Macaca fascicularis: one gene and its partners. The protein of the gene in region 1 interacts with the protein of each later gene in a biochemical or structural test. Links are inferred from orthologs where the notes say so. Each region holds a gene or a part of one and is shown in the gene's direction. Other genes may lie near its edges.

Evidence for each region.
Region 2: the proteins of PRKACA (region 1) and CREB1 form a complex in vitro, tested with the Homo sapiens proteins (2 studies listed by BioGRID, with this or other methods). The link is inferred for Macaca fascicularis from reciprocal best matches to the Homo sapiens genes PRKACA and CREB1.
Region 3: the proteins of PRKACA (region 1) and BAD form a complex in vitro, tested with the Homo sapiens proteins (2 studies listed by BioGRID, with this or other methods). The link is inferred for Macaca fascicularis from reciprocal best matches to the Homo sapiens genes PRKACA and BAD.

The regions. Positions count from the first base shown.
Region 1 is NC_088393.1:14,521,570-14,530,752, reverse strand, and holds part of PRKACA (cAMP-dependent protein kinase catalytic subunit alpha), read left to right. Parts: intron 1-3,813; coding exon 3,814-3,875; intron 3,876-4,334; coding exon 4,335-4,463; intron 4,464-8,287; coding exon 8,288-8,386; intron 8,387-9,183.
Region 2 is NC_088386.1:103,472,258-103,481,937, forward strand, and holds the start of CREB1 (cyclic AMP-responsive element-binding protein 1), read left to right. Parts: upstream 1-4,490; 5' UTR 4,491-4,677; intron 4,678-9,680.
Region 3 is NC_088388.1:10,104,939-10,114,889, forward strand, and holds the start of BAD (bcl2-associated agonist of cell death), read left to right. Parts: upstream 1-5,070; 5' UTR 5,071-5,429; exon of another isoform or gene 5,430-5,692; intron 5,693-5,797; exon of another isoform or gene 5,798-5,903; intron 5,904-6,127; 5' UTR 6,128-6,135; coding exon 6,136-6,322; intron 6,323-9,951. Other genes in the region: integral membrane protein GPR137, read right to left, coding at 1,094-1,361, 1,780-1,898, 2,033-2,161, 2,287-2,436, 2,556-2,781, 3,488-3,537, 3,621-3,977. UniProt on the Homo sapiens protein: Promotes cell death. Successfully competes for the binding to Bcl-X(L), Bcl-2 and Bcl-W, thereby affecting the level of heterodimerization of these proteins with BAX. Can reverse the death repressor activity of Bcl-X(L), but not that of Bcl-2.

The DNA.
Region 1 (9,183 bases):
AGAGCGAGACTCCATCTCAAAAAAAAAAAAAATTTGAACCCTCAATGCCCCTATATTTGTTTTTGAGGTTTTTTTATGATTACTTTTCTTGTTTTGAGACAGGGCCTCACTCTGTCACCCAGCCTGGAGTGCAATGGTTCAATCATGGCTCACTGCAGCCTCTACCTCCCAGGCTTGAACAATCCTCCCACCTCCGCCTCCTGAGTAGCTGGGACTACAGGTGCACAACACCACACCTGGCTAATGTTATTATTTTCTGTAGAGGGTTTTTTTTTTTTTTTTTTTTGAGACAGAGTCTTGCTCTGTCGCCCAGGCTGGAGCGCAGTGGCCAGATCTCGGCTCACTGCAAGCTCCGCCTCCCGGGTTTACGCCATTCTCCTGCCTCAGCCTCCCGAGTAGCTGGGACTACAGGCGCCCGCCACCTCGCCCGGCTAGTTTTTTGTATTTTTTAGTAGAGACGGGGTTTCACCAGGTTAGCCAGGATGGTCTCGATCTCCTGACCTTGTGATCCGCCCGTCTCGGCCTCCCAAAGTGCTGGGATTACAGGCTTGAGCCACCGCGCCCGGCCTTCTGTAGAGGGTTTTGATGTTGTCCAGGCTGGTCTTGAACTCCTGAATTCAAGCAATCCTCCCAACTCGGCCTCCCAGAGTATTATTATTTTTTTGAGACAGAGTCTCACTCTTGCTCAGGCTGGAGTGTAGTGGTGCGATCACAGCTCACTGCAACCTCAATCTCCTGGGTTTTAAGAGATCCTCCTGCCTCAGCCTCCTGCGTAGCTGGAACTGCGGGCATGGACTGCTACTATGCTCAGCTAATTTTTTAATTGTTTTACTTTTTGTAGAGATGAGGTCTTGCTATGTTGGCCAGGCTGGTCTCTAATTCCAGGCCTCAAGCAATCCTCCAACCTCGGCCTTCCAAAGCACTGGGATTACAAGTGTGAGCCACCATTCCCAGCTCTCCCTGTTTTTTTTGTTTTGTTTTGTTTTTTGAGACAGAGTCTCACTCTGTCGCCTAGGCTGGAGTGCACTGGTGCGATCTCGGCTCACTGTAACCTCTGCCTCCCAGGTTCAAGAGATTTTCCTGCCCCAGCCTCCCAAATAGCTGGGATTACAGGCATGCACCACCGTGCCCAGCTAAGTTTTGTATTTTTAGTAAAGACAGGATTTCACCATGTTGGCCAGGCTGGTTTCAAACTCCTGACCTCAAGTGATCTGCCCACCTCAGCCTCCCAAAGCGCTGGGATTATAGACGTGAGCCACCATGGCCAGTCTCTCCCCATATTTTATTTTATTTTTTCTTTTCTTTTTTTTTTTTCTTAGACAGAGTCTTGCTCTGTCACCCAGGCTGGAGTGCAGTGGTATGATCTCGGCTCACTGTAACCTCTGCCTCCCAGGTTCAAGCAATTCTCCTGCCTCAGCCTCCCAAGTAGCTAGGATTATAGGCACACACCACTATGCCCGGCTAATTTTTTTGTTTTGTTTTGTTTTGTTTTGGAGACAGAGTCTCGCTCTAGTCTTGCCTAGGCTGCAGTGCAATGGCATGATCTCAGCTCACTGCAACCTCTGCCTCCCGGGTCTAAGCGATTCTGCAGCCACCATGCTTGGCTAATTTTTTTGTACTTTTAGTAGAAACAGGGTTTCACCATGTTGGCCAGGCTGGTCTTGAACTCCTGACCTCAAGTGATCCACCCGCCTCGGCCTCCCAAAGTTCTGGGATTACAGGCGTGAGCCACCGTGCCCGGCCTAATTTTTTTATTTTTAGTAGAGATGGGGTTTCGCCATGTTGGCCAGGCTGGTCTCGAACTCCTGACCTCATGATCCGCCCACCTCAGCCTCCCAGAGTGCTGGAATTATAGACGTCAGCCACTGCACCCAGCCTCTCTCCCCATATGTTTTTTTTTTTTTTTCTTTTTTTTCTTGAGACAGAGTCTAGCTCTGTCTCCCAGGCTGGAGTGCAGTGGTGCGATCTCGGTTCACTGCAAGCTCCGCCTCCTGGGTTCACGCCATTCTCCTGCCTCAGCCTCCCGAGTAGCTGGGACTACAGGCATCCGCCACCACACCTGGCTAATATTTTTAGTAGAGATGGGATTTCATCGTGTTAGCCAGGATGGTCTCGATCTCCTGACCTCGTGATCCGCCCACCTCGGCCTTCTCCTCATATTTTATACCTCAATTTAAAAAATAATAGGCTGGGTGCAGTGACTCATGCCTGTAATCCCAGCACTTTGGGAGGCCAAGGCAGGCAGGTCACCTGAGGTCAGGAGTTCAAGACCAGCCTGGCCAACATGGTGAAACCCGTCTCTACGAAAAATACCAAAATTAGCTGGGCGTGGTAGCAGGTGCCTGTAATCCCAGCTACTCAGGAGGCTGAGGCAGGAGAATCATCTGAACCTGGGAGGTGGAGGTTGCAGTGATCTGAGATCGTGCCACCGCACTCCAGCCTGGCAATAGAGTGGGACTCCATCTCAATAATAATAATAATAATAATAATAATAATAATTTTAAAAATAAATAAAAAATAATAGTAGCTGACATTTATCTGGCGCTAACATCACATGGGCCACTGTTCAACTCCCTTTGCCAAGATGAACTCATTCATTCCTTAAAACCACCCCACAGGCCGGGTGCGGTGGCTCAAGCCTGTAATCCCAGCACTTTGGGAGGCCGAGACGGGCGGATCATGAGGTCAGGAGATTGAGACCATCCTGGCTAACACGGTGAAACCCCATCTCTACTTAAAAAAATACAAAAAAATAAACTAGCCGGTTGAGGTGGCGGGCACCTGTAGTCTCAGCTACTTGGGAGGCTGAGGCAGGAGAATGGCAGGAACCCAGGAGGCGGAGCTTGCAGTGAGCCCAGATCGCGCCACTGCACTCCAGCCTGGGCGACAGAGCGAGACTCCGTCTCAAAAAAAAAAAACCCCCAAAAAACCACCCCACTTTACAGATGAGGAAAACTGAGGCCTTGAGAGGTGAGATCAGTTGCCCAAAGTCACAGAGTTCATCGGAGACCAGGCTGGGCTCTGAACTGGATCTTGTCCCCAAGTCCTGGCCCTTAGCCACTTTGCTGGGCTGCGTCTCAGCAGAGATAAGAATGACTGTTTTCAAGCCTGTTTTCTGGGTTGTTAAACGGACACAATGGATACAAGGCAGGTTGCCGAGCGAGTCAGATGAGACAGTGTAGACAGCAGCCGGCACAGGGTCTGCCGGGGAAGTTTCAACGTTAGCCAGGCGGTGATGTTCGCCTTGGGATGCCGTGGGGCCGAGGAGTGGGCATCGGGCGAGACTTCCCTTGAACCAGCTCTGGAGCAATGCCCTTGCGATCGACACGAGAGGAACAGGGCCAGCTGGGGGCCAAGGTGACAGCTGAGCCCCCCAAGGGCGCCTGCTACCCGAGCCCCCGAGGCCTCCATCCCAGGCCCAGCCTCCCCAGAGAAGGGGCCAGAGGAACAGCCAAATCCCAAGGCTATAAATACCTCGGCTGGCGTCGGCCCTGGCCGTGGAATGTCGGTCAGAACTGGGGCGAGTGGGGGTGGGCTGGCCTGCCTGGGTGCCTCCCTCCGTTCCCCTGGGGGTGACCCCTGAGACTCTCTGTACCCCACTTTGGATGGAGTAGCAGCTGGATCCCACCTCTCTGTAGCAAGGGAGGCCCAGGCCACGGCCCGGCCAGGGCCCCCAGAGGCACCATAAAAAGGTCAGGCTCTAGGTTGAGGGAACTGCACCCCAATTTCTACCAAGTATCTCCCCAGAAATCACCTGAACCCGCCCCGGTGAAATGGAGGTCTCTGTCTAACCCTCCCCTGTCTCCCTTTCAGTGAAAGAATTCTTAGCCAAAGCCAAAGAAGATTTTCTTAAAAAATGGGAAAGTCCCGCTCAGGTAAGGCCACCGGGTACAGAGTCCGGGGAGGGGTGAGCTGGTGACCCCCAGCCCCCAGCTGCGTCCCAGCAACACAGCTAGAATTTCAGAAACCCCGTGGAAGGCTTCAGATCCTCCCCATTCACTCCCTAGGTACCCATGAGGGCTCCTGTGTGGAGACACCTGACTGCCCAATGCCAGGCACCCCCATCCCACCACCCCTTCCAACAGCCCGCCCCTGCCCCTAGCACAGCTGCCAGCAGCTCCCAGGCCCCAGGCCAGGGCCGGATCTGGCCCCTGCCACCCGCCTTAAGGAATGCACCCTCTGCCATCTTGATTTTCCGCCCCCGTCCTCAACCCCGCTGACCCTACGTGCTCCCCGGGGCCCCCTCTGCCGGTGGCAGAGGGGATGCCTCAGACCTTAGCCCAGCAGGCCGCGGGGAGGATGCACCCTGAGCCTGCCGACCCCTCTGCCCACAGAACACAGCCCACTTGGATCAGTTTGAACGAATCAAGACCCTCGGCACGGGCTCCTTCGGGCGGGTGATGCTGGTGAAACACAAGGAGACCGGGAACCACTATGCCATGAAGATCCTCGACAAACAGAAGGTGAGGTGGCCCGTCCTCGCCTTTGCCTGGACTGTGCCCACTCCTTGGAGTGCCCTATCCACCCGTTCACTCACTTGCTTTGCTTTTTCCAGTCAGAGTCTTGCTTTGTTGCTCAGGCTGGAGTATAGTGGCGCGACCTCGGCTCACTGCAACCCCCACCTCCCTGGTTCAAGCGATTCTCCTGCCTCAGCATCCTGAGTAGCTGGGATTACAGGCACCCGCCACCACACCCAGCTAATTTTTGTAATTTTAGTAGAGATGAGTTTTCACCATGTTGGCCAGGATGGTCTCGAATTCCTGACCTCAGGTGATACACCTGCCTCAGCCTCCCAAAGTGCTGGGATTATAGGTGTGAGCCACCACGCCTGGCCACTTGCTTTTTTGCGGGGAGACAGGATCCTGCTCTGTTGCCCAAGCAGGAGTGCAGTGACGTGATCATAGCTCACTGTAGCCTCAAACTCCTGAGCTCCTCCCGAGTAGCTGGGACTACAAGCACACACTACCATGCCTGGCTAATTTTTTTTTTTTTTTTTTTTTTAAGGCAGGGGGTCTCTTGCTGTGTTGCCCAGGCTGGTCTTGAACTCCTGGCCTCAAGTGATCTACTTCAGGCTCCCAAAGCGCAGGGATTACGGACATGAGCTTCCACGCCAGGCTCACCCACTATTCCCCGAGCCCCCATAATGTGCCAGCTCCAAGGGTCGAAAGGGCCCTGTGCTGCCTTCCCAAAGCTCCCTCTCCAGGCCGGCCATGCATTCAAAGCCGGGCACTGTGACACAGGGTCAGACACCAGTCCAAAGGGAGGAGGCCAGGAGCATTCTTGGGGAAAGCGGTGTTTACGTGGACTTTCTTCCCGTAAATATTTTTGTGATCCAACTTTATACCGGGCACTGCTATAAAGCAGCAATGTAACCAACAGAAATGTAACCCAAGCCACAGAATCGATTTTAAATTTTCTCTTTGCTCCATCATAAACAGTAAAAAGAGCCAAGCATGGTGGCGCATGCCTATAGTCCTAGCTACCAGAGAGGCTGAGGCAGGAGGATCACTTGGACCTAGGAGTTCAACTCCAGCCTGGACAACACAGCCAGACCTCATCTCTCAAAAAAAAAAAATTGTGGCTGGGCACGGTGGCTCAAGCCTGTAATCCCAGCACTTTGGGAGGCCGAGACGGGTGGACACGAGGTCAGGAGATCGAGACCATCCTGGCTAACACGGTGAAACCCCATCTCTACTAAAAAATACAAAAAAAAAAAACTAGCCAGGCAAGGTGGCGGGCGCCTGTAGTCCCAGCTACTCGGGAGGCTGAGACAGGAGAATGGTGTGAACCCAGGAGGCGGAGCTTGCAGTGAGCTGAGATCCGGCCACTGCACTTCAGCCTGGGCGACAGAGCGAGACTCCGTCTCAAAAAAATAAATAAATAAAAATTTAAAAAAAAAATTGTAATTAAAAAAGAAAGTGAAAGAAGCAGATGACATTCATGAAATTCATTTTAATGACATGTTTGGGGCTTTTGTTTTTTTTTTTTTCTTGAGACAGAGTCTCACTCTTGTCGCCCAGTGGTGTGATCTCAGCTCACTGCAATCTCCACCTCCCAGGTTCAAGTGATTCTCCTGCCTCAGCTTCCCAAGTAGCTGAGATTGCAGACGCCGCCACCACGCCTGGCTAATTTTTGTATTTTTAGTAGAGACGGGGTTTCACCATGTTGGTCAGGTTGGTCTCAAACTCCTGACCTCAGGTGGTCTGCCTGCCTCGGCCTCCCAAAGTGCTGAGATTACAGATGTGAGCCACCGCGCCCAGCCTAATGATATGTTTTAATTAAGCCAGTATATCTACAGTATTACCGTTTCCATATATTATCAATGTGAAAATATCATTAATGAAACATTTTACATTCCTTTTGTTTTTTTCCCAGTCCTTCATGACTTCGGAAATATTTCCTTTTTTTCTGTACTGAAGTGTCTTTAAAATCCAGTGTCCATTGGATGCTTACAACAGGTCTCAACTCTGAGGGTAAATTTTTCCTGGAAAGAGGAGAAAAAGGAGGGAAGTTGAAAAAGCTAATTCAGGCCTGGCGCGGTGGTTTACACCTGTAATCCCAGCACTTTGGGAGGCCGAGGCAGGCAGATCACGCGGTCAGGAGATCGAGACCATCCTGGCTAACACAGTGAAACCCCATCTCTACTAAAAATACAAAAAAGGTAGCCGGGCGTGGTGGCGGGCGCCTGTAGTCCCAGCTACTCGGGAGGCTAAGGCAGGAGAATGGCGTGAACCCAGGTGGTGGAGTTTGCAGTGAGCCGAGATCGCGCCACTGCACTCCAGCCTGGGCGACAGAGCGAGACTCCATCTCAAAAAAAAAAAGAAAAAAGAAAAAGCAGATTCACATGCCCAAGTTGTTCCAACTATGCCTGAAAGTCACCAGTACCTACATCAAGTGTTTAATTTTTGTTTTGTTTTGTTTTGTTTTTGAGATGGAGTTTCACTCTTGTTGCCCAGGCTGGAGTACAATGGTGTGATCTCAGCTCACGACAACTTCCGCCTCCCGGGTTCAAGCGATGCCTTAGCTTTCTGAGTAGCTGGAATTACAGGCATCCGCCACCACGCCCAGCTAATTTTTTAATATTTGTAGTAGAGACAGAGTTTCACCATTTTGGCCAGGCTGGTTGTTTTGTTTTTGAGACAGGGTCTTGCTCTCTTGCCCAGGCTGAAGTGCAGTTGGGCTCAAATGATCCTCCCACCTCAGCCTCTGAAGCTGCTGGGACCATAGTCGTGCCATGCCCAGCTAATTGCTTTTTGTTGTTGTTGTTGTTGTCGTTGTTGTTGTTGTTGTTGTTGTTTGTAGAGATGGGGTCTCGCTACATTGCCCAGGCTAGTCTCAAACTCCTGGGCTCTGGTGATTCACCTGCCTGGGCCTCCCAAAGTGCTGGGATTACAGGCGTGAGCCACCATGCCCAACTGGTGTCAGTTTTTAAATTTATATTTAAGATACTTAAAATTTTTGAATTTGGCTCCCCAGTCAACTAGTCACATTTCAGGGGCCCAGCATCCCCCTGTGGCTAATGGGGACTGAACTGGGCAGGGCAGGTATAGACTGTGAGGACACAGCTGTGTGAGCAAAGCAGTTGACAGCTGACCAAGGGACCAGGCTGACTACATGTGACACACCAGCCTGACATCAGCCAGCTGTGTGACCTTGGGCAAGTCACCTCCCCTCTCTGTGTCTGGTCTTCCAAACTGGCATACTCCCAGCATGGGCCTCTAGGGCTCCTGTCCTGATTCAGTGAGAGACTAGGTGCTAGGTGCCTGCTCATGGCATCTGCTATTGGGGACAGCTGATGGCTGAGGAGCAGTTAGCCTGAGATTCAGGTTGCTGTGTGGAGTGTTCTAGACAAGGGTAAGGCAGTTCCTAAACCCCCCACCCCTTGGCCTTCTCCTGCCTGTCTTTTCAATTTCAGTTCAGCTGCCCCTTCCTCCAGGAAGCCCTCTTTGACTCCCCCTTCCTCAGACCATGCCAGGTACTTTACATGGGCTTCTTGGGGGCTGCTTCTCCGCAACCCCAAGATGCCCTCCACCACGGCTCTGACATCTCTGGGGGTAACCCATGTATTCTTTGCCCTGGACTTTGTGCCATGCAAGGACAAGCAGCCCCTAGCCTCCCTGACGCTGTGTCCTCAGCATCAGCCAAGGGCCCGACAGGCCACAGGCACACAAATGATTCTGGCTGAAGGAACCGGCCTGGCTCTGGCATCCCTAGTTCCAGGCATCAGGGGAAATGAGTCCCCTCTCACCTCCCCCTCCTCTCTGCCCTCCCCTCCCACCCTTCCCAGGTGGTGAAGCTGAAACAGATCGAACATACCCTGAATGAAAAGCGCATCCTGCAAGCCGTCAACTTTCCGTTCCTCGTCAAACTCGAGTTCTCCTTCAAGGTGGGGTCCCAGTGGCCAAGGGGCAAGGTCACTGCACTGGGTCCCAGCCTTCTGGCCCCCAGGGCTGGGGTCGGAGCTGAGGACACTCAGTGGCTGCCCTCTTTTGTGGAAGAACAAGCTCCCTGGAGGAGGGAGACCAGGGGACAGGAGTCAGGCTGGGACTCTGGTAGACCCAAGTTCAGTTCCTGGGCCGGCCAATTTGTAGCTCGATACCCTTGGCGAGTCACCCAACCTCAATAACATCCCTCAAAAGCAGCACCCGGTTTATGGCAAGAGCGTGACCCGGGAGCACAAACGCTGTCCCAGGCAGCCGGGGCTCAGTTCCCAGCTCAGTACTTCCTGATGTGTGGCCCCAGGCAAGAGACTTATCTCCCCGAGCCTCAGTTTTCTCATATGTAAAATGGGGATCATACCAGTTCCAATCTGGTGGCGTTGTCATGACAGTTGCAGGCACGTGTTGAGCACCCTTTGGGAGCCGTTTTGGGTGCCATCCAAAGCTGTAGTCATGAGAAACAGGAAAGGCCACTCAGGGCCAGCTTCATGGGCGTTCGACCCAGAGAAGCACAAGGGTCTATGCTCCAAGGGACCCTACACCTGGTTTAATGCTTTGCTGCTGCTGCTGCTGCTGTCTTGAGATCTGTAATAATTTTTTGTTGTTGTTGAGACAGAGTCTTACTCTGTGGCTCAGGCTGGAATGCAGTGGCGCGATCTTGGCTCACTACAACCTCTGCCTCCCGGGTTCAAGCAATTCTCCTGCCTCAGCCTCCTGAGTAGCTGGCATTACAGGTGCCCACCAG
Region 2 (9,680 bases), on another chromosome or scaffold:
TCCCAGCTACTCAGGAGGCTGAGGGCAAGAGAGTCACTTGAGCCCAGGAGTGCGGGGCTGTCACGTGCGATGACCACTCCTGTGTACAGCCACTGCACTTCAGTCTGAGCAACACAGGGAGAGCCTGATCCTGAAAAAAATCCATTTTAAAATGGAGGTGGCTTCCAAATCCCAGAGACAAAACTTGGACGCTGAAAGTAGAAATGTCAGAAAGTAGTGAGGTTGAAAATGCTAGAGTATATCCGAAGAGAGAATACTCAAGAGAGAAATGTCAAAGTAGAGAGATTGAAAATCTGGAGTATACCCCAAATTGTTAGTAGTAAAATAACTTGCATTGGAATGAATGGATGATTGAATAAATGAATGAACAAAGTTAGGTGGGAACGGAGGCCATTAGAGCAGAAGTCAAGAAGAATACATGTTTTAATAATTGTTTGAGGCCCACTGGTCTGACAGTAAGGGCCCAAGTGAATAGGGGAAGCTAGCCTCCAGTTAGAAGACACCTAGAAAGTTAGCAAAATAATCAATGATAATAAGGGTCTAAATGAAGGTCAGTGTATATAAAAAGGAAGAATGAATATGAGGACATTTTAAAATAAAAACTCACCATATTTGCTGGGTGATAATTATGGGTTATGAGTAAATAATTCCAAAGTTTTGATACCATGTATAAGGCCACGGTAAGAAGAGCAGGTAGATGAATTCAATTTTTTTTTTTTTTCTGAGACGGAGTCTCACTCTGTCGCCCAAGCTGGAGTGCAGTGGCCGGATCTCAGCTCACTGCAAGCTCTGCCTCCCGGGTTTACGCCATTCTCCTGCCTCAGCCTCCCGAGTAGCTGGAACTACAGGCGCCCGCCACCACGCCCAGCTAGTTTTTTTTGTATTTTTTTAGTAGAGATGGGGTTTCACCATGTTAGCCAGGATGGTCTCAATCTCCTGACCTTGTGATCCGCCCGTCTCAGCCTTCCAAAGTGCTGGGATTACAGGCTTGAGCCACCGCACCTGGCCGACGAACCCAATTTTGAAAACGTATTTGACACAAGGATGATATCCAAATAAAAGCTAGTAATAGGCAACATTTTTCCTAACATTGTTCCAAGTACAAACATTGTTCCAAGTATACTTCACAGGTATTATGTCATGTAATCATTACAATAACACCATGAGGTAAGTGCTATTATCATCTTTGTTTTACAAATGGGAAAACTGAGGCACAAGAGTGAACAATTTGCCCAAAGTCATTAGCTAATAAGTGGCTGAGCCAGTGCAATGAATTCACCCCCACCCCCATCTCCTGCAAATTCATATTTTGAAATCTTCACCCTCAATGTGATGGTATTAGGAGATGAGGCCTTTGGGAGGTAAACCCCGTGCGAATGGGATTAGTGCCTTATAAAAGGAACCCAAGAGCTCTTGCTCTCTTTCTGCACTGTGAGATAAAGAGAAAAAACAGCCATTTACAACCCTCAAGAGGGCCTTCACCAGAACCTGACCATGTTGGCAGCCTGATTTCAGACATCCGGCCTCCAGAGCTATGAGAAATAAATTTCTGTTGTTTATAAGCCACCAAGTCTACATGGTACTTTATTACGGAAACCTGAACTCACTGACAGCCAGGATTTGAACTCAAATGTTGAGAAACTTTGCCCGGGACCACTCAGAAATTCACTATTTATTCGATAAATATTTAACAAGTACCACTATATTCTAGACATTGTGTTGTTGCTAGGGAGAGGAAAAGCTGGTAGTGAACAAGAGAGATGTGGTCCCTACCTGCACAATTACATGGACACTAACCAAATAATGAGAAGTAGGAATTGGAAAAGAAAGTGATAAATTACAGTTAGGTAGGAGGAATGGGTGAGAGAAAAGAATTCCAGGGGAAGGGAAGGGCATGCGTAAATACCCTGAAGTGAGAGCCTACAGTAGGGCATAAAAAGAGGAGAGCCTGGAAAAAATTAAAATACTATGCAAGGAGTGCAGGTAGCTAAGGGGACAGATGGAAAGGCTGGAGAGAAAGACAAGATAATGGAGCTTAGACAATGTGTGGTAAGCAAAGGGAGGCCACTGGAGGAATTTAAGCAGGTCAATGATCAGATTTATATTTAAAAAATTACTCTGGCAGCAGTTTGGCAAATGTATTGGAATGAGGGAAGAGCAGTTTTCGAGGACCTGAATGGGTTATTGTGGGACTTCAAGCAAGAGACCACAGTGGTTTAGACTAAAATGGGAATGAAAAAATGGTCATGGGAACAGAGAGGTCACAAATCCAATTTTCCAGGAAACAGACAGATGTAGGTGATTCTGCTGTGTGTTGGAGGTGTGTTAGGTTTCTTGCATGAACTGAGTAGATGTTAAGATACCCTTTACTGAACCAGGGACTATGGGAGGAGCATTTCGAAGGAATTATGATACACAGGCTGAGTTTGAAATGCCCTAAGTCATCCAAATGAAAAGTGTACCAAAGGCAGTATGTTGGAACTATGAATATAGGGTTCCAGAGCAAGACCTAGGCTTGGGTTATGGATTGAAGAGTCTTTGACAGAAGGTATTTGATGCTACTGGGAGAGCATAAGACCACCTAGGAAAGTGTATGGGGAGACTCAGTAAGAAGGCCAGGGTTCATTCAGCTCAGCATGATTCCAATGTGTAAGAGGTAGATCAAGAAGGAGAGGCTGGTTGTTAAAGAGAAAACTCAGGTAGAGAGGAAACCTGTGACATAAGACCAGAGGGAAGACGGTATTTGGAAGAGAGTGTGGTCAAACGTGTCAAATACTGGGATGAGGGCTTGTAAAATGAGGACTGAAAACGATCCGCTGCATTTACAGACATGAAGCTTGTCTGTGGACAATTCAGAACCACTTCAGGTGAGCAGTGGGGACACTGGAGAGGGCTGGGAGGTGGGATGTGAGAGACTGTCCAGGGGTAAGAGACAGCTGGAGTTGTTGCAGAGCAATTTAGGGAGAAGAGAAATCTTTTTAAAGAATTGAGAGACTTAAGCATGTTTAAATACTAGTAAGAAAGAGCCAGTAGAGAAGGAAACGTTGAGAGTAACAGAAGGAAAGGAGACTTGTTAAGGGCAAAGTCTATGAGAAAACAGTAGGGTACCTGGAGTACCAGGAAGGACAGTTCCTTACAAGAGAAGTGAGTAATGGGCGGAGTCCAGATTTGAACACTCTCTACTTCCTAAAGACACGTCTCCTTTAAAGGACAGAAAAATAATGATTAAGACTTGAGGCCAGGCGCGCTGGCTTACGCGTGTAACCATACCACTTTAGGAGGCCAAGGCGGGTGGATCACCTGAGGTCAGGAGTTCCAGACCAGCCTGGCCAACATGATGAAACCCCATCTCTACTAAAAACACAAAAATCAGCCAAGTGTGGTGGCAGGTGCCTGTTATCCCAGCTACTTGGGAGGCTGAGGCAGAAGCTGCAGTGAGCCGAGATCGTGCCACCGCACTCCAGCCTGGGCGACAAGACCTAGACTCCGTCTCAAAAAAAAAAAAAAAAAAAAGACTTGAAACCCCAGGGAGAGGGGCGCAGAGTTCACTATCAGGGAGAATGGGGACCTAGTGGTGTGGTCCTGGGCGACCTCTGAGAGAGCAGTTCAGTAGTTTCCAGCCACGGAAGTCCCCCTGCTGGGTTTAGGGTGCAGTGGGTGCGAATCCCTGCTGTAGAAAACAGGCTGAAGAAAGCAAGCCACACAGGATGTTGTCTGGAGAAGGGCGGGCAGGTGGGATGGGGCATATTTCCAGCGGTCCCGGCAGGTTGTGGCTCGGAGGCCTCCGAGGGCCGTCGACGTCAGCCACGGCCGGGGCAGAGCGACGGCCCGGGCAGAGCCCCGGGAGGTGCCACAGTACCGGGGCCAAAGCCCCTCAGAAAAGCATGCTCCGCCGGCGGCCGCCAGGTTTCTCTGCGGAGTCTCAGAAAGGAAAACCCGTCCCCACGGGGGTCCCACGACGTCCCCGGGTCCCAGGCGCCGGGACGTTGGCAGAGGCGCAGCAGACCTTCCTCCCCAACCCGTACGGCTCCCGCGGTCCCCCGTCTCCCGGCGGCGTCGGAAAGTTCCCGGAGCTCGCGGCGGTCAAGACCAGAGCCGGGGCAGCCGCAGCCGCCTTCTTAGCCCGCCGCTCACCGCCACAGAGGCAGGCCTGCGTGGGGGTTTCCACCAACTTGCCGACACCCCTCAGGAATTCCCCTACTGGGCCACACACAAACCCCGCTTCCTCCTTCAAATTTCCGCCGCCAGCTTTATCGATCCGAACGCCGCGCTGGGGTTTAGACCACTCCTCCCGGCGCCGGGCTCAGCCCGCCTTCGCCTTCCCTCTCCCGGCGGAACCCGTCCGCCTCGCGCGAAGAAACCCGAAGGCCTTCGGCAAGTTCCGTCCCCAGCGCGGGGGCGGGGCCGCTCGAGCTGCTCCGGGCCCAGCTCGGCTGTTTCCGTGCGCGGCCGCTGCGCACTCGGCACTGGGCGGCGCTGGCTGGCTCCCTGGCTGCGGCTCCTCAGTCGGCGGCGGCTGCTGCTGCCTGTGGCCCGGGCGGCTGGGAGAAGCGGAGTGTTGGTGAGTGACGCGGCGGAGGTGTAGTTTGACGCGGTGTGTTACGTGGGGGAGAGAATAAAACTCCAGCGAGATCCGGGCCGTGAACGAAAGCAGTGACGGAGGAGCTTGTACCACCGGTAAGAGGAGCAGGAGGAGGAGGCAGGAGCCAGAGAGAGCCGGGGGGACGGAGGGGGGACGGGGAGGCGCCGGACACCCGCGCTTGGGGCCTTCCCCTCGCAGGAGGGGCCGCGGTAAAGATGGAGCCTCCGCCCGAGCCCCACAACATCGCCGCCGCTCGCAGCGAACAAAGAATAATGGCGGCGGACTGGAGCCAGCGGCGGCCGGGGCGGCAGCGACTCTGCCTGCAGCCAGCGGCGGCGCTCATGGCGGGGGGCGGCGGGCGGCGGGCGGCGGGCGGGGTGGGAGCCGGCGGCCGGGGGTGTGTGCGGGCGGCCGGCCGCGGCGAGCTGGCGCCCGCGTTCCCGCCGCCGCCGCCGGGCCGGGCGCGGAGCCGGGAGCCCGGAGCCGCCCCGGGGGAGGCCGCCCGCTCGGCCCGGCGCTGCCCCCCGCGCCGCTCGCTCGTCCGGCCCCCGCCGCCCGCCTCGCCCCCGGCCCGACCCGGCCTGGCCTCCGGGGCAGCCGCCGCCTAGGTGCCGGTGGGGGGTGGAGGAGGAAGAAGGCGACAGTTGAGGGCAGAGGAGGTGAAGGTGCCTGCTGCCTTCCCAGTGGCCTCGGTGTCTGCCATGCCCGCTTCGCAAGGGGAAGAGCTGCAACGTCTGACCTACTCTTCTCTCCACTCTTTGTGCAATAAAGTTCGAAACCCAAGGTTTCCTCTCGTGCTGTATTTTATTCATGCCCTTTCCCCTCCGCTCCCACACCGTTGAGGAAATGCTGCTTTCTGCCCTGTGCTGCTTAGTTGAGAGATGAGAGCTTGTGTTTTGGGGGGAAATTTTTTACTCCTTCACCCCCTTGCTTTTTTTTTTTTTTTTTTTTTTTTTTAAGTCAGTAGTTATGGAAATGCATGCTTTTTGGGAGAAAGAGGGTGCTAAGAAAAACATAATAACTTTTTAAACTGTTGGGATCTTATAAAAGGGAAGCTGGCGTTTGAAAACAGTTTCGGTTTTAACCCTTTTCAATAAGGTAATCATTACTCGAGGTCTATCATTTTGAAACACTTCGTTGAAACGAATTATCAGCCGATGTACTCTTGTTTTACATCATTTCGCGGGGTGCAACCTTGCCAACCGCGTTTGAGTTATCTGGATCTCCCCTCACCCTGTCCCACTCCCCCTACCATATTTCCCACGAATTTCTTCGTGAACTTTAATGAGAGATTTAATACTTCTTCTAAAAATAGACTTTAAAGTATCCATTATTTCTCTCTCATGCAGTAGGTAACCCCCGTCTTGAGATTGACAATTTAAGCCACAAGCTGTATTTTTTCTTCGCCTGTTGGGAAAAGAGGACAGCAGAAAAATCATTGACACATTAAAAATTAAAAGAATTTTTAAAGGACATGCGGTATGACCTATTTAAGTTTGTAATATCATCCCAAGTTATAATTCTAACCTCAGCTGGCGTCTGCCTTCTGAAGGTTTAGTAGAAGATACTTTTGATTGCTGCCTATTGAAGTATTTTACATTTATGGCTCATTTCCTGATTTAAAAGTAAAGCCCCGAACAGTTATTTTAGGTGGTGCAAAAGACGAACAAGTTTGTTTTAAAAATACTTGTCTGTCACTGTATGATTGCATTGTGATCGACACGTACAAACCTTCTGGTTAGGAACAAATACTGATTGGCACCAGAAGCACTGTCTTATTTTTCTGTATCCTAGTCACTTTTCCAAAATGTGCTTTGTTGTATTGCTTCTCTTTAAAAGACCACATTAGCAATTTGTCATTTACAAGAAACTTAAGAAGATGCGGTAAAGGGAGGTTTTCTATAAAGATTGGGAAAATGATTTTATTTTCAAACACTGAAAAAATTATATTGATAATGGTGAGTTACCGTTTTTCCTTTATGATGTTCTGCAAGCCACTATCAGTTGAGTAGATTTTTGTTTGTTTGTTTGTTTGTTTGTTTGTTAAGAATGTAAGTCGGGTGCGGTGGCTACGGCCTATAATCCCAGCATGTTGTGGGGCTGAGGAGGACAGATCACTTGAGGTCAGGAGTGCAAGACCAGCCTGGCCAACATGATGAAACCCCATCTCTACTAAAAATACAAAAATTAGCTGGGTGTGGTGGTACGCGCCTGTAATCCCAACTACTCGGGAGGCTCGGGTTGCAGTGAATTGAGATTGTGCCACTGCACTCCAGCCTGGGCAGCAGAGCAAGACTCCGTCTCAAAAACAAACAAACAAAAAGAATATACGACTCTTCATGTGTGAGATTTTTAAAAAATTGTTTGCTGATGGCCGAATGCGGTGGCTCACGCCTGTAATCCCAGCACTTTGGGAGGCCGAGGCAGGCAGATCACGAGGTCAAGAGATCGATACCATCCTGGCCAACATGGTGAAACCCCGTCTCTACTGAAAATACAAAAATTAGCTGAGTGTGGTGACGTATGCCTGTAATCCCAGCTACTAGGGTAGCTGAGGAGGCGGAGATTGCAGTGAGCCAAGATTGCCCCACTGCCCTCCAGCCAGGCCACAGCGAGACTCCATCTCAAAAAAAAAAAAAAAATTGTTTACTGATACGTTCTTTCTTCAGTCTTGCCCAAGAGATATTTTAAATTGTATTTTTTATTTTAATTTTTATTTATTTTTTTGAGATGGAGTTTCGCCCTTGTTGCCCAAGCTAGAGTGCAGTGGGGCGGTCTCGGCTCACTGCGAGCTCCGCCTCCCGGGTGCAAGAGATTCTCCGGCCCCAGCCTCCCGAGTAGCTGGGATTACAGGCGCAGGACACCACACCCGGCTAATTTTTGTGTTAGTGGAGACGGGGTTTCACCATGTTGGCCAGACTAGTCTCGAACTCCTGACTTTGTGATCCGCCTGCCTCGGCCTCCCAAAGTGCTGGGATTACAGGTGTGAGCCACCTTGCCCAGCGTATTTTATTATTTATACATTCATAATTTGTGATTCTTAGCAATTCCAGGTGGAACTTCAAACTTTTATATTCATTAATATTGTGAACATTCACCTGGAACATGTGACTAAATTGTACTTCTCCACTGTTCCAGCCATCGGTAAAAATTACAGCTGGATCCACTTGAATCTTTTTTTTTTTTTCCCCATGAACACCTGCATTTAGAAAGCTAATAAATTATTTGACAGAATTTGCTTGAAGAATGTTAAAAGAACACTTCTTTGGGAATTTAAAACTTAAGTGTTACCTGTTTTGAATGAATTTTTCCCCCCCTACATAAAGAGCCTGAAGAAACTTAGAAACCTGATCCATAAAAATGGCACCTTTCTTTTTCTACTTTCTGAAACTCATATGCCTGATTAGGTCTCATTATTAGAAGTTTTGGTTTCTTCATAGAGAAGTAGCTTTATTTCTCTCTCATTCTAAGACATTTGGTTTTGTTGTTTGGGTACAGTAAGGTTATGGGGTTATAGTAAAACCAAGTATGTGTCTTCTTCACCTGTTTTTAAATTTTTTCTCCTTTTTATAACAGTAGGGAAAATTATTTATTTTTAACCTAATGCTTACAGTATATTACCAAAATTTATAATTTCATTTATTCCATAAATAGCTTATCAGATATCAGTTACATAAACTTGTTTACAGCCAGCTTGTGACATAGTTTTGCAAATATCTTGATATATGGTGTAACTTTGATGGCTTCTTTATTGAATAGAGCTCAAATCTAAATTTAAGAGTGTAGTAAGATGTCAAGATAGAAAAATGCAGGAATTTTCTTTTTCTTACCCATATGTGAACTCATCTCTACGGCAGTATCACTTGAGACAACAGTTTATGGTAATTCAAATATTTATTTAGCACTCACTGTGACAGAGAATGTAGTTGAAAGAGCATGAGGTTTGGAATCACAGGCCTACATCTGAATGCAAGCATTGCCACTACTCTCCTGTACCTACTCTAAAGGAATTTTGTGTCCTAAAGGAAGTTTCTTAATCTTTCTCAGCCTCAGTTTCCTTATATGTAAAATTAGAATACTACTACTTATTTCATAAGATTGTGAGATAAACATAAAGTACCTTAGGGCTACAACTAATGATAGCTAGTCCCTTAAGCTTTGTTTTAACTTCCTACCTGTGGGCCCTTAGGCAAGTTATCTTAACTTCTGGATACCTCACTTTCCTTTCTGATCAATGTAGAATAACTACCTCAGAATTGTGGGGATTAACTATAAAGTAATACATACTAAGTTCCAGGCGTTGTACAAGTGTCAAGTGCTCAAGTGTTGACAAGGTTTTTTTCTTTTAATTTTTTTTGAGACAGAGTCTCGCTCTGTTGCCCAGGCTGGTGTGCAGTGACACAATCTCAGCTCATGGCAACCTCTGCTTCCTGGATTCAAGTGATTCTTCTTTCTCAGCCTCCCTAGTAGCTGGAACTACAGGCATGCACCACCACGCCCAGCTAATTTTTGTATTTTTATTAGAGACAGGGTTTCACCGTGTTAGTCAGGCTGGTCTTGAATGCCTAGGATTATAGGTGTGAGCCACCACGCCCAGCCGGCCTGTTACTTTTTAAATTATTTATTATTACTATATGTAATACAGTGGATCAGAAGCTACAACAAATCCAAAGATGAATTACATTGTCTTATCTCTACCCTCAGGAACTGTTGGAGACACAGTGACTAAGACAAATTATGTGTCAAAAGAAAGTAGTCAAAGGAAAAAGGGATCACCTTTGGTGAAGTGAGGAGTATATTTTTTATATTTCCAATTTGGTTTTTTTGAATAAGTAATTCATTCAGATGATCTGTAATTCAAAACATATATAATACAGCAAAATGCCCTACATTCTCTTGCCCTGTTACCTAAGTGTTAGCAATTTTTTATATGTCCTTTAAGAGGTGTTTTATGCAAACACGAGCAAATATGTATGTCCTGTCTCCCCCTTTTTGTACAAATGGTAGCATACGGTGTATACACTCTCCTATATCATGCTTTCCCCCCACCACTCAACATGCCTTAAACTTAGCAATTTTGTATCAGCACATAAAGAGC
Region 3 (9,951 bases), on another chromosome or scaffold:
TGATAGGGAAACAGGGCCTCCAGAAAGTCTAATCCATTGGGGTTAAGACTCAGTAGCTGCCAGGCATGGTACCTCATGCCTGTAATCCCAGCACTTTGGGAGGCTGAGGTGGGTGGATTGCTTGAGCCCAGGAGTTCGAGACCAGCCTGGGCAATATGGTGAAACCCCACCTCTAAAATAAAAAATTAAAAAATTAGGGCCGGGCGCGGTGGCTCAAGCCTGTAATCCCAGCACTTTGGGAGGCCGAGATGGGCGGATCACGAGGTCAGGAGATCAAGACCATCCTGGCTAACACGGTGAAACCCCGTCTCTACTAAAAAAAATACAAAAAAACTAGCTGGGCGTGGTGGCGGGCGCCTGTAGTCCCAGCTACTCGGGAGGCTGAGGCAGGAGAATGGCATAAACCCGGGAGGCGGAGCTTGCAGTGAGCTGAGATAGCGCCACTGCACTCCAGCCCTGACGACACAGCGAGACTCCGTCTCAAAAAAAAAAAAATAAAAAATAAAATAAATTAGGCAGGCTGAGGCAGGAGGATTGCTTGAGCCTGGTTGGTTGAGGCTGCAGTGGGCCATGATCGTGCCACTGCACTCCAGTCTGAGTGACAGACCCTGTCTCAAAAAAAAAAAAAAAAAAATCCTCAGTAGCCACATAACCACAGTAATGTGGGGCTGTGGGGCCTAGTAGAGGGGCCACATCCCTTGACCATTAGACAGAAGGCTTCCTAAAGATAGTAACAGTTGACGCAGGTCTTGAGGAAAGAGTAGGAACTGTTCAAGTGGAGAGGGATCTGGAGTTAGTGGGGCAATTCTGGGCCAGCAGAGCTTTGAGAACAAAGGCCTGTGTGGTCTCCTTCCCTTGCAAACTGCAGGCCCCTCCTCTCCCAGCCCACCAGCCTTGATGGGGTAAGTGGCCCCTGCCCAGCCTAGCAGCCCACTTCAAGGGCCACTGTTCAGCCTTAGGCCAAACAGGCAAAAGTGACAGGAACACAAGGCAGATGATAGACAGGTGAACAACTGTGGGGCGCAGACACTGTTTATTGAGTGGCAGGCACAGGAGAGGTAGCTGACTCCGGTGTGGAAGCGGAGGTGGCAGGTCATGCCAGGGTGCTGTGGGCATCTGGCAGCCAGGGCCACGCCCCCATCCTAGGGGGACGGCACAAGCTCACTATGACAGGAGCAGCAAGGAGCTGGCCAGAGGAGGGGGCAGCCACGACCCCCAGGATCCTGGGCAAGAAGTGGCAAACTTGGCACAGGGGCTTAGGGTGACGGGGACTGGGGCCTGGGTATTCTGTGGGGGAGGGAAGGGGATCACGTCTGTGGGGTGGAGTAGAGACTGTGGTGGTGGCCACCTGGTCCTGGCACCTGGGAGAAGAGCAGAGGAGTGGTCTTCGTCTGGCTGCCCCCATACCAGCCCGGCTCACGCCCGATGGCGCCATACCAGCTCCCAGAGCCTAGACTGCCTGACATACTGCAGCAGAGAAACAGGGTCAGTCTCAGGACAGTGACCAGGGCCACAGTCACAAGAGCTGCAGGAGGAACAGAGGCTTAGAACAGAACCCCTGTGACCTAGACCTTCGGGGCCCAGGGCAAAGTACATCTCTAGGCAAGGGATGGAGGCTTTAGCCATAGGAACCCAGGGGACCTCACCTAGTACAGATGGGGAAGCAAAGGCCATGGCAGGGGTGGAAGGGCAAGACCCGGCTCTCTCAGTCCCCCATAGCTCGATGGAGCCAAGTGGGTGGTGGGGGCAGGGGTACTGAGGCAGTGCCATGGCTCCTACCTGGTGCTCTCACCCCGGCTGTGCTCCCAGGAGCAGCCCTCATCTTCACAGTGCCCAGCCCGGTCAAAGAAGTAGGACCGGGAGGCAAAGACCTGCCCATTGAGGATGTGGCTGGTGCTCTGGAGAAGGAAGCCATCATCGATACTTACTCCTGTCCCACACTGTTCTCCCTGCCCATCCCCAGATGCCAACCCAGGATTCCCAGCATCTGCCCCTCTCCACTGGGCCCACAGGGGAGGGTGCAGACCCTTACCAGGTCCTGTGGGGGCCGGTGTACCCGGAAGAAGCCCACCAGCAGGGTGGTGGGCAGCAGCTCCCACACGAAGAGGATGAGGCCAAATACCAGGTAGCCTTTGTTCCCCAGGTCATTTACCAGGTCCGCCTGTGGGAAGGCAGGGGCTGGTGCCAGTCTGCAGTCACGCCAAGGGGGCAGTGGGACAGGGCCCAGGCCAGCTGGGGCCAAGGTGCCACGGCTACTAAGGAGGTGGCAGACATGCGTATGCCCACCTGATCAGACACATTGTACCAGTCGTAATCGAAGGTGTCCAGTCGGCTCTGGGGGGCCAAGGCCAGTGCTGTCAGGTTGTAGCAGGCCCGGCTGGCATAGAGCAGGACCATGGCTCCACCCATCGCGGCCGCCTGGCACACACTGGTCCCCTGGCACAGGTAACAACAGAGGACCCTCAGGGAGAGAAGGCTCCCAGCTTCCTCTACACCCTGAGAACCGCTGCCCAGAGATCCCAAAGGACACCTGGGCATCAGTGCTGCGGCCCTACCTTGGCCTCCAGGTAGATGCTAGTGGAGGGGGCCCGCCTGGCGACGAGGCAGAGGCAGGCAGCAAGAGACAGCGCACAGATGACGAACAGGGAGTCGCTCACCAGGACGCGGACAAGCAGCAGGGCCCAGGGCTGTGCCCGGCGCCGATGGGAGAGCACAGCACACAGCACGTTCACCAGCAGAAAGAGCAGCGAGGCCCCCACAAAGGCCCCTCGGACAGCCAGCCTGCAGCCACAGCACAGTCAGCCCGGGCCCTCAACAGCCCTCAGCACTCACCACCTGCCCCACCTCCTGCAGGAAACCCCAGTGTCCACAGAACTCAGGGCATCCAGTCTGAGCCCTGTTCCTCCATTCTTATAGATGGAGAAACTGAGGCTCAAAGAGGTCAGAAGGTGACTGACAGCCATGGTACCTCGGAAGGGGCACCAACTGGAGTCAGAAGTCTCCGTCTGAGCCCCAGCTCTGCGACCTTGATCCTGATGCCTTACCTGGCTGGGCCTCAGTTTCTTCATCTCTCAAGGGAGGAGAGTAGCCTCTCAGGGAAATTGTACAAATGAAAGATGGCTGGGAAAGCTCTTTATAAACCGTAAGACACTGTACAAATGACGAGGGCATTGCGGCCCCAGGTCACCCAGGAGTGCATATGGCTTTGGTGCTTCCATGGACTGGAGCCTCCAGCTCACCCTCCATGGTGGATGCCACTGGGTTCCTCTCCCTCACACTACCACAACCATTCCTATTCTTGTGCCTTGCAGATCTGCAACGCCTCTGCTGAGCCATCTGCGCCAGGTGCTTTAACTTTTCCAAGCTCTTCCACAGACATTCCCTGGGTTGTCTTTGTCTCAGCCCTGAGAGGTGGGAAGGGATCTACATGGGACTGTCCCCTGCCCCTGACCTGGAGGTTGAGCCCACCAGTGTCCCGAGTACTTACAAGCCTCGGCTCATCTCCGGCCGACGCTTCGCCTTGGCCTTGAACACCACCTAGGAGCAGAGATGCCCTTCACTCCCGTGGGTCCTTAAGGCTTGCCACCTCCCACCCCCCACCCGGGACCACAGTTGGTTACCTGGGCAAAGTAGAGGTTCATAAGCGTCAAGGTGAAGAACTGCAGGCAGACGGGGCAGCAGTAGAGAAGCCAGAAGGGCAAGGGCCCCAGGCGGTTGGCGCGGGGAGTATCTCGGAAGTAGAAGGAGAAGAGAGTGGTACGCAAGGCAGCCCAGAGCAGACAGAGGGCCAGGAACACCGTCTGATAGCTGAGACGCTTGTGCCCATACAGAAGCACCAGCCAGAGCTGGGCATAGACGGAGAAGAAGAGCAGGGCATACAGGGTGGTGTAGGCAGCCGTCAGCCCCAGGGTCACAGCAGGTGGCAGCGCAGGCACCAGCCCGGCAGCAGGCACCAGGCCAGACAGGTTACTCTCCATGTCAGGGAGGGAGGCCTGAATCCCGGAGACAGAGAAGGAGGGGCTGTCGGCAGGGCCAGGGTAATAAATACGGAGGGGTGGGAATTGCAGGGTGCAGAGAGGGAGATGGGGCGCTGAGGAGGAAAGAAGTTGTGGCTGACAGGCCCCTCCTCCTCAACAGAGAGACCCTTGCCCTTGGGGAACACGGGCAGCCTGGGCCCCAGGCCCCTCACTCAGGGGCATGGAAGGGCAGTCTCTTCTCTCCAGGGCAGACCGGGTGGGGGTTGGGGGTGTCTCCTCCCTGGGCCTACCCCAGAGTCAGGGATGGGGGGATGCAGAGGCCCAAGGAGCGGAGTCCCTGGCCTCGGTCGCTCGTGTCGTCCTGGCTGGAGGGGGAGAGCCAGCCGATGCCCGTCGGGTCAGGGCAGCGGCCGCTGCAGGGGGCGCCCAATGCCCCGCTCTCCCCCTCCCCAAGCTGGGGGAGGCTCTCCTCCAGTAATGCGGATGGGGAGGGCCTCTGCCTTCTGTCCTTGTAATTCTCGAAAGCTGCCCCCCGCCCAACCCCCCCCCACCGCGTCCACTCTCCAGCCTCAAGGGGCGGGAGGAGGCGGATGCCAGGTCCTCAGGCCGCTGATGGGAGAGCCGGCTCAGGTCGTGGGGACCCGGGGCTCCGGCTCCCCGGCTCCCGCTGCTCCGCCCCCTCCTGCGCCTGCGCGGGCGCTGTTCGCTACGCAAATTGCGCAGGGGCCCGACCGGCTCCGCAGTCCAGCGCCGCACCCGGCGTGAAACCGTACGAGAATTGGCGCGAGCTGCGCCGCTGGCGGGCGCCCGGGGTTACGGGAGGCGGCTGGAGGGCGGCCGAATTGCGGGGGCCGTGCCGCATCCAGGGGGTCCCCGGGTGGGCTGTGCCTGGGCGGTCCGCCTTAACTTGTATGGGGGGCCGCCAATTCCCACGCTCCTCTCTCCTATACCCAAATCGGGGTCGTGCCACCCAGCCGGGGGCGGCAACGGATTCCCGTCCCTCGGCCTCTGAAGAAAACTTCCGCCCATAGCCAAGATGGCCCCCGGGCCCCGCCCCCGGGCCTGAACCCGCGGAGCCCCGAATCCCCAGCGCGGGCCCGCCCCCCGCCCCGGCGCGCCCGCGGCCCTGCTCACCTGGCCGGCCGCCTGCCAGGCCTGAAGCCCCCACGGATCCTACGGTCCACCCTCACCGGGTCCCCGGCCCTCCTCCCGCGCCCGGGCAGCCATCCCAGCCAGGGAGGAGGTTCCTCTCCTTATCTCCAGTGCCCCCGAGGTGGCGCGGGAGGTGTCCCCCGAGGCGGGCGGCGCGAAGCTTCCACGCCTGGGAGGAGGAGCGGGGAGCGGGACTTTCCGACCGGGCACCCAGTCCAGGCGGAGCGGTAACAATAGCAACAATAATCGCATCCGACGGCTGAGCTTCAGTTGTGGCTGTGCCAAGCGCCTTCGCCCGCAGTAATCACTCCCTTCACAAAGTTTTCACTGGCTCCTGGGGGAGCTGTCACTATCCCCACTTCACTGGGGGGAAACTAAGGTCCAGAGGGGCTGAAGGACTTGTTGGCAGAAGTGGGTCTCCAGGTTCCAAATGGGGACCCCAGAGAATCCCTCTCCTGCTCCCACACACGTCCAAGGTGTGAGGCAGCGAGGATATGAGCACCAGGGCTGCAGGAGGGAGAAAAAAGGCTGCGGGCGAGTAGCCGTAGGTCCGGCGGGGAGGCGGGGCCGGGCCGGGTTGACCCCGCCTCTGGACCTACCCGAGTGACGTTCCGAGAGGTGATTGGGCCAGGTCGCTGACAGTTCCCGTTGCCCAAGCAACTAGGGCCGGGAGCCCGGGGTGCAGGAGGGAGGCGGCAGGCCCGGGTCAGGGGCCTCGAGATCGGGCTTGGGGTGAGACCTGTGCGCCGTCACCACGGGCGGGGCGGGGCCTGGGTAGGGGCCTGGGTCCACCAGGGTTCTAAGGGGAGATTGAGGCCCTGAGCCGACAGCATCAGCTCCCTGCCAGGCCAGACCCAGCAGACAAATGAGGGCCCGGGAGGCCTGGCGGGCCTGGGGGCCCTAGGGTGGGAGAGGGAGCCAAGGGTACCTGCCTCTGCCTTCCAGGGCCACCGTTGGCCCCAGCTGTGCCTTGACTACCTAACATCTTGTCCTCATAGCCCAGAGCATGTTCCAGATCCCAGAGTTTGAGCCTAGTGAGCAGGAAGACTCCAGCTCTGCAGAGAGGGGCCTGGGCCCCAGCCCCGCGGGGAACAGGCCCTCAGACTCCGGCAAGCATCATCGCCAGGCCCCAGGCCTCCTGTGGGACGCCAGTCACCAGCAGGAGCAGCCAACCAGCAGCAGCCATCATGGAGGTAAGTACCCCACCACCTCCACCTGCCGGGTCACCTCACCCCCAGCCCACTGGCTCCCTGCATCCCAGTTGTATCCACGGGCACTGAAGGCTTTGGGTCGGTCCCTAACCTCTCAGAGCCCCAGTTTCCTCTTTTGTAAAACAGAGCAATTAATAACCACCATTGTAGGACTGTTGAGTTAATTAGCAGGAACATATAGGATGCACTTGATTACAGAGCTGGTGCACATTAAAGCTAAAAAATGGTAGCTGCCAGGCATGACGGATCACACCTGTAATCCCAGCACTTTGGGAGGCCAACGCAGGAGGATCGCTTGAGCCCAGAAGTTCAAAGCCAGCCTGGGTGACTTAGGGAGACTCCATCTCTTAAAATATGTATATATATATATGGCAGCTCTCAGTGTGGGGCCAGGACAGAAATTAGTGACAGGCAGGCAGGCAGTGATCCGAAAAGGAAAAGGGGCCTACCTAAGGCCATACCTGCCTGGCATTTCTTTCCTTAGAAGGTGGGGGCTGGAAGACTCCTTGGTGCCCTGCCCCAGGCTACATGCTTTCCCTGGGATTGGGCCTTCCAGCTCCCAGATGTGTTCTTTCTTGCCCCGAGGCTTGCGCCCACAGCAGGCCTGTCCTGGCACAAAGGCCAGGGGCAGGTGACCTCAAGGGGCAGACGGTCCTCCCAGACAGCAGGGCTGTGTGGGGTGGGAAGCACAGGCTCCAAGATGGAAGGATAGACACTGGGGTTCAGTGTCCATTTCTCAGTAGGCTCCACCACCCCTGTGCCCAGCACTGGCCTTGGCACCTGGAACAACAACATATATCTTCTGAACACAAAAACCAGGTCAAGCCAGGTGGGGTGGCCCATGTCTGTAGTCCCAGCAGCTCAGGAGGCTGGCTTGAGCCCAGGAATTCAAGACCAACCTGGGCAACATAGCCAGACCCCATCTCTAAAAATAGAAAACTAGGTCATGTCACTCTGGCACTGAAGCTTAAACGACCTCCTTCCCATTTTCAGGATTAAGAAGGCTTAAGAGGCCTCCTTCCCCTCCCTCTCTTACGCACAAACACACACACTCAGTTCTCTCAGATTGGATCCCATAGCTTGCTTTCTTTTTTTGTTGTTGTTGTTTTGTTTGTTTTGAGACAGGGTCTCGCTCTATCACCTAGGAGGGAGTACAGAGGTGTGGAGTACAGAGGTGTGACCTCAGCTCACTGCAGCCTAGAACTTCTGGGCTTAAGCGATCCTCCCACCTTACCCTCCCAAGTAACTGGGAATACAGGTGTGTGGACTACACCTAGTTAATTTATTTTTAACTTTTTCTTTTTTTTTTTTTTTTCTGAGACAGAGTCTCACTCTGCCACCCAGGCTGGAGTGCAGTGGTGCAATCTCAGCTCACTGCAACCTCCGCCTCCTGGGTTCCAGCAATTCTCCTGCCTCAGTCTTTCAGGTAGCTGGGACTACAGGCATGTGTCACCATGCCCGGCTAATTTTTTGTATTTTTAGTAGACATAGGGTTTCACCATGTTAGCCAGGGTGGTCTCTATCTCCTGACCTTGTGATCCGCCCGCCTCGGCCTCCCAAGGTGTTGGAATTACAGGCGTGAGCCACCACGCCCGACATTTTTCATGTTTTCATTAGAGACGAGGGCAGGGGCGGGTCTCCTTTTGTTGCCCAGGCAGGTCTCAAACTCCTGGGCTCAAACAATCCTCCTGCCTCAGCCTCCAGAACAGCTGGGACCACAGGTACATGCTGCCACACCAGCTCATTTTTTATTTTTTGTAGAGGTGGGGTCTTGCTTTGTTGCCCAGCCTGGTCTCGAATTCCTGGGCCCAAGAGATCCTCTCATCTTGGCCTCCCAGAGTGTTGGGATTACTGGCGTGAGCCACCATGCTCGGCCTCCACAGCTTTCTTTAACTTTCTGAGCTTGCACTTGGCTGTTTTTCTGCTCACAAACTCCCCCTGCTTTCTGCCCCCCGCCACACACACTCAGCATTGACTTGTGTCTCAGAGTGAGTGTTCACCATGTGACACAGGTTGTTCCAGTTGCTAGGGGGACCTCGGTGAACCCAAGCATCAGGAATCCTTGCCCTCGTGGAGCTTACATTCTAGTGACGTGGTGGGTCCATAAGCAAACAAGCACAAAAGTGCATCCTATCATGGATGAGAAGATTTGTATGGGGGCAGCATGTAAGAGTTAAGAGAAGCTGGGCGCGGAGGCTTACACCTGTAATTTCAACACTTTGGGAGGCTGAGGCGAGCGGATCACAAGGTCAAGACATGGAGACCAGCCTGGCCAACATGGTGAAACCCCATCTCTACTAAAAATACAAAAATTAGCCAAGCATGGTGGCATGCACCTATAGTCCCAGCTACTCAGGAGGCTGAGGCAGGAGAATCACTTGAACCCGGGAGGCGGAGGTTGCAGTGAGCCAAGATCACACCACTGCACTCCAGCCTGGCAACAGAGTGAGACTCCGTCTCAAAAAAAAAAAAAAAAAAAGAGTTAAGAGAATCCAGAGTCACGGGGCTGGGGGAGTGATGGTAGCAGAGGTGGTCAACACTCACTTGGTGAGAAGCACCACTGGAACCAAGGCCACAGGGATGATGGGAAGAGAGTTCCAGGCAGAGGGAAGGGCAGGTGCTAAGGCCCTGAGGGCAACACCTGCTCCCAGCTAGGGTGGGCCTAGAGGAGGGGGTTAGGAAAGGGTCTTTGGAGACCTAAAGGTGGAGGTCATTGTAAGGACTCTGACTTTGCCTTTGGGTGAAAACCTGGAAAGGCTTTGAACAGAGGCAGCATGGTCAGATTTAGACATTCAGAGAGTCACCAGGGAGGTGGTGAGAAGTAGCTGGCCTCTGGATTTATTTATTTATTTATTTATTTTTTTTTTTTGAGATGGAGTCTCGCTCTGCCGCCCAGGCTGGAGTGCAGTGGCCGGATCTCAGCTCACTGCAAGCTCCGCCTCCCGGGTTCACGCCATTCTCTTGCCTCAGCCTCCCCAGTAGCTGGGACTACAGGCGCCCGCCACCTCGCCCGGCTAGTTTTTTGTATTTTTTTTTTTTTAGTAGAGACGGGGTTTCACCGTGTCAGCCAGGATGGTCTCGATCTTCTGACCTCGTGATCCGCCCGCCTCGGCCTCCCAAAGTGCTGGGATTACAGGCTTGAGCCACCGCGCCCGGCCTATTTATTTATTTATTTATTTATTTTTATTTTTTTGTTGAGACAGAGTCTCGCTTTGTCGCCCAGACTGGAGTGCAGTGGCCGCATCTCAGCTCACTGCAAGCTCCGCCTCCCGGGTTCACGCCATTCTCCTGCCTCAGCCTCCCTAGTAGCTGGGACTACAGACGCCCGCCACCTCGCCCGGCTAGGTTTTTTTGTATTTTTTAGTAGAGACGGGGTTTCACCGTGTTAGCCAGGATGGTCTCAATCTCCTGACCTTGTGATCCGCCCGTCTTGGCCTCCCAAAGTGCTGGGATTACAGGCTTGAGCCACCGCGCCCGGCCCTGGATTTATTTTTAAAGCAGAACTGGCAGGATCTGCTGATGGACTGGATGTGGGGTGCGAGGGAAAGAGAGGAACCAGGATGATGCCAAGGAATTTTAAAAAAATTATTAGGCTGGGAGCGGTGGCTCAC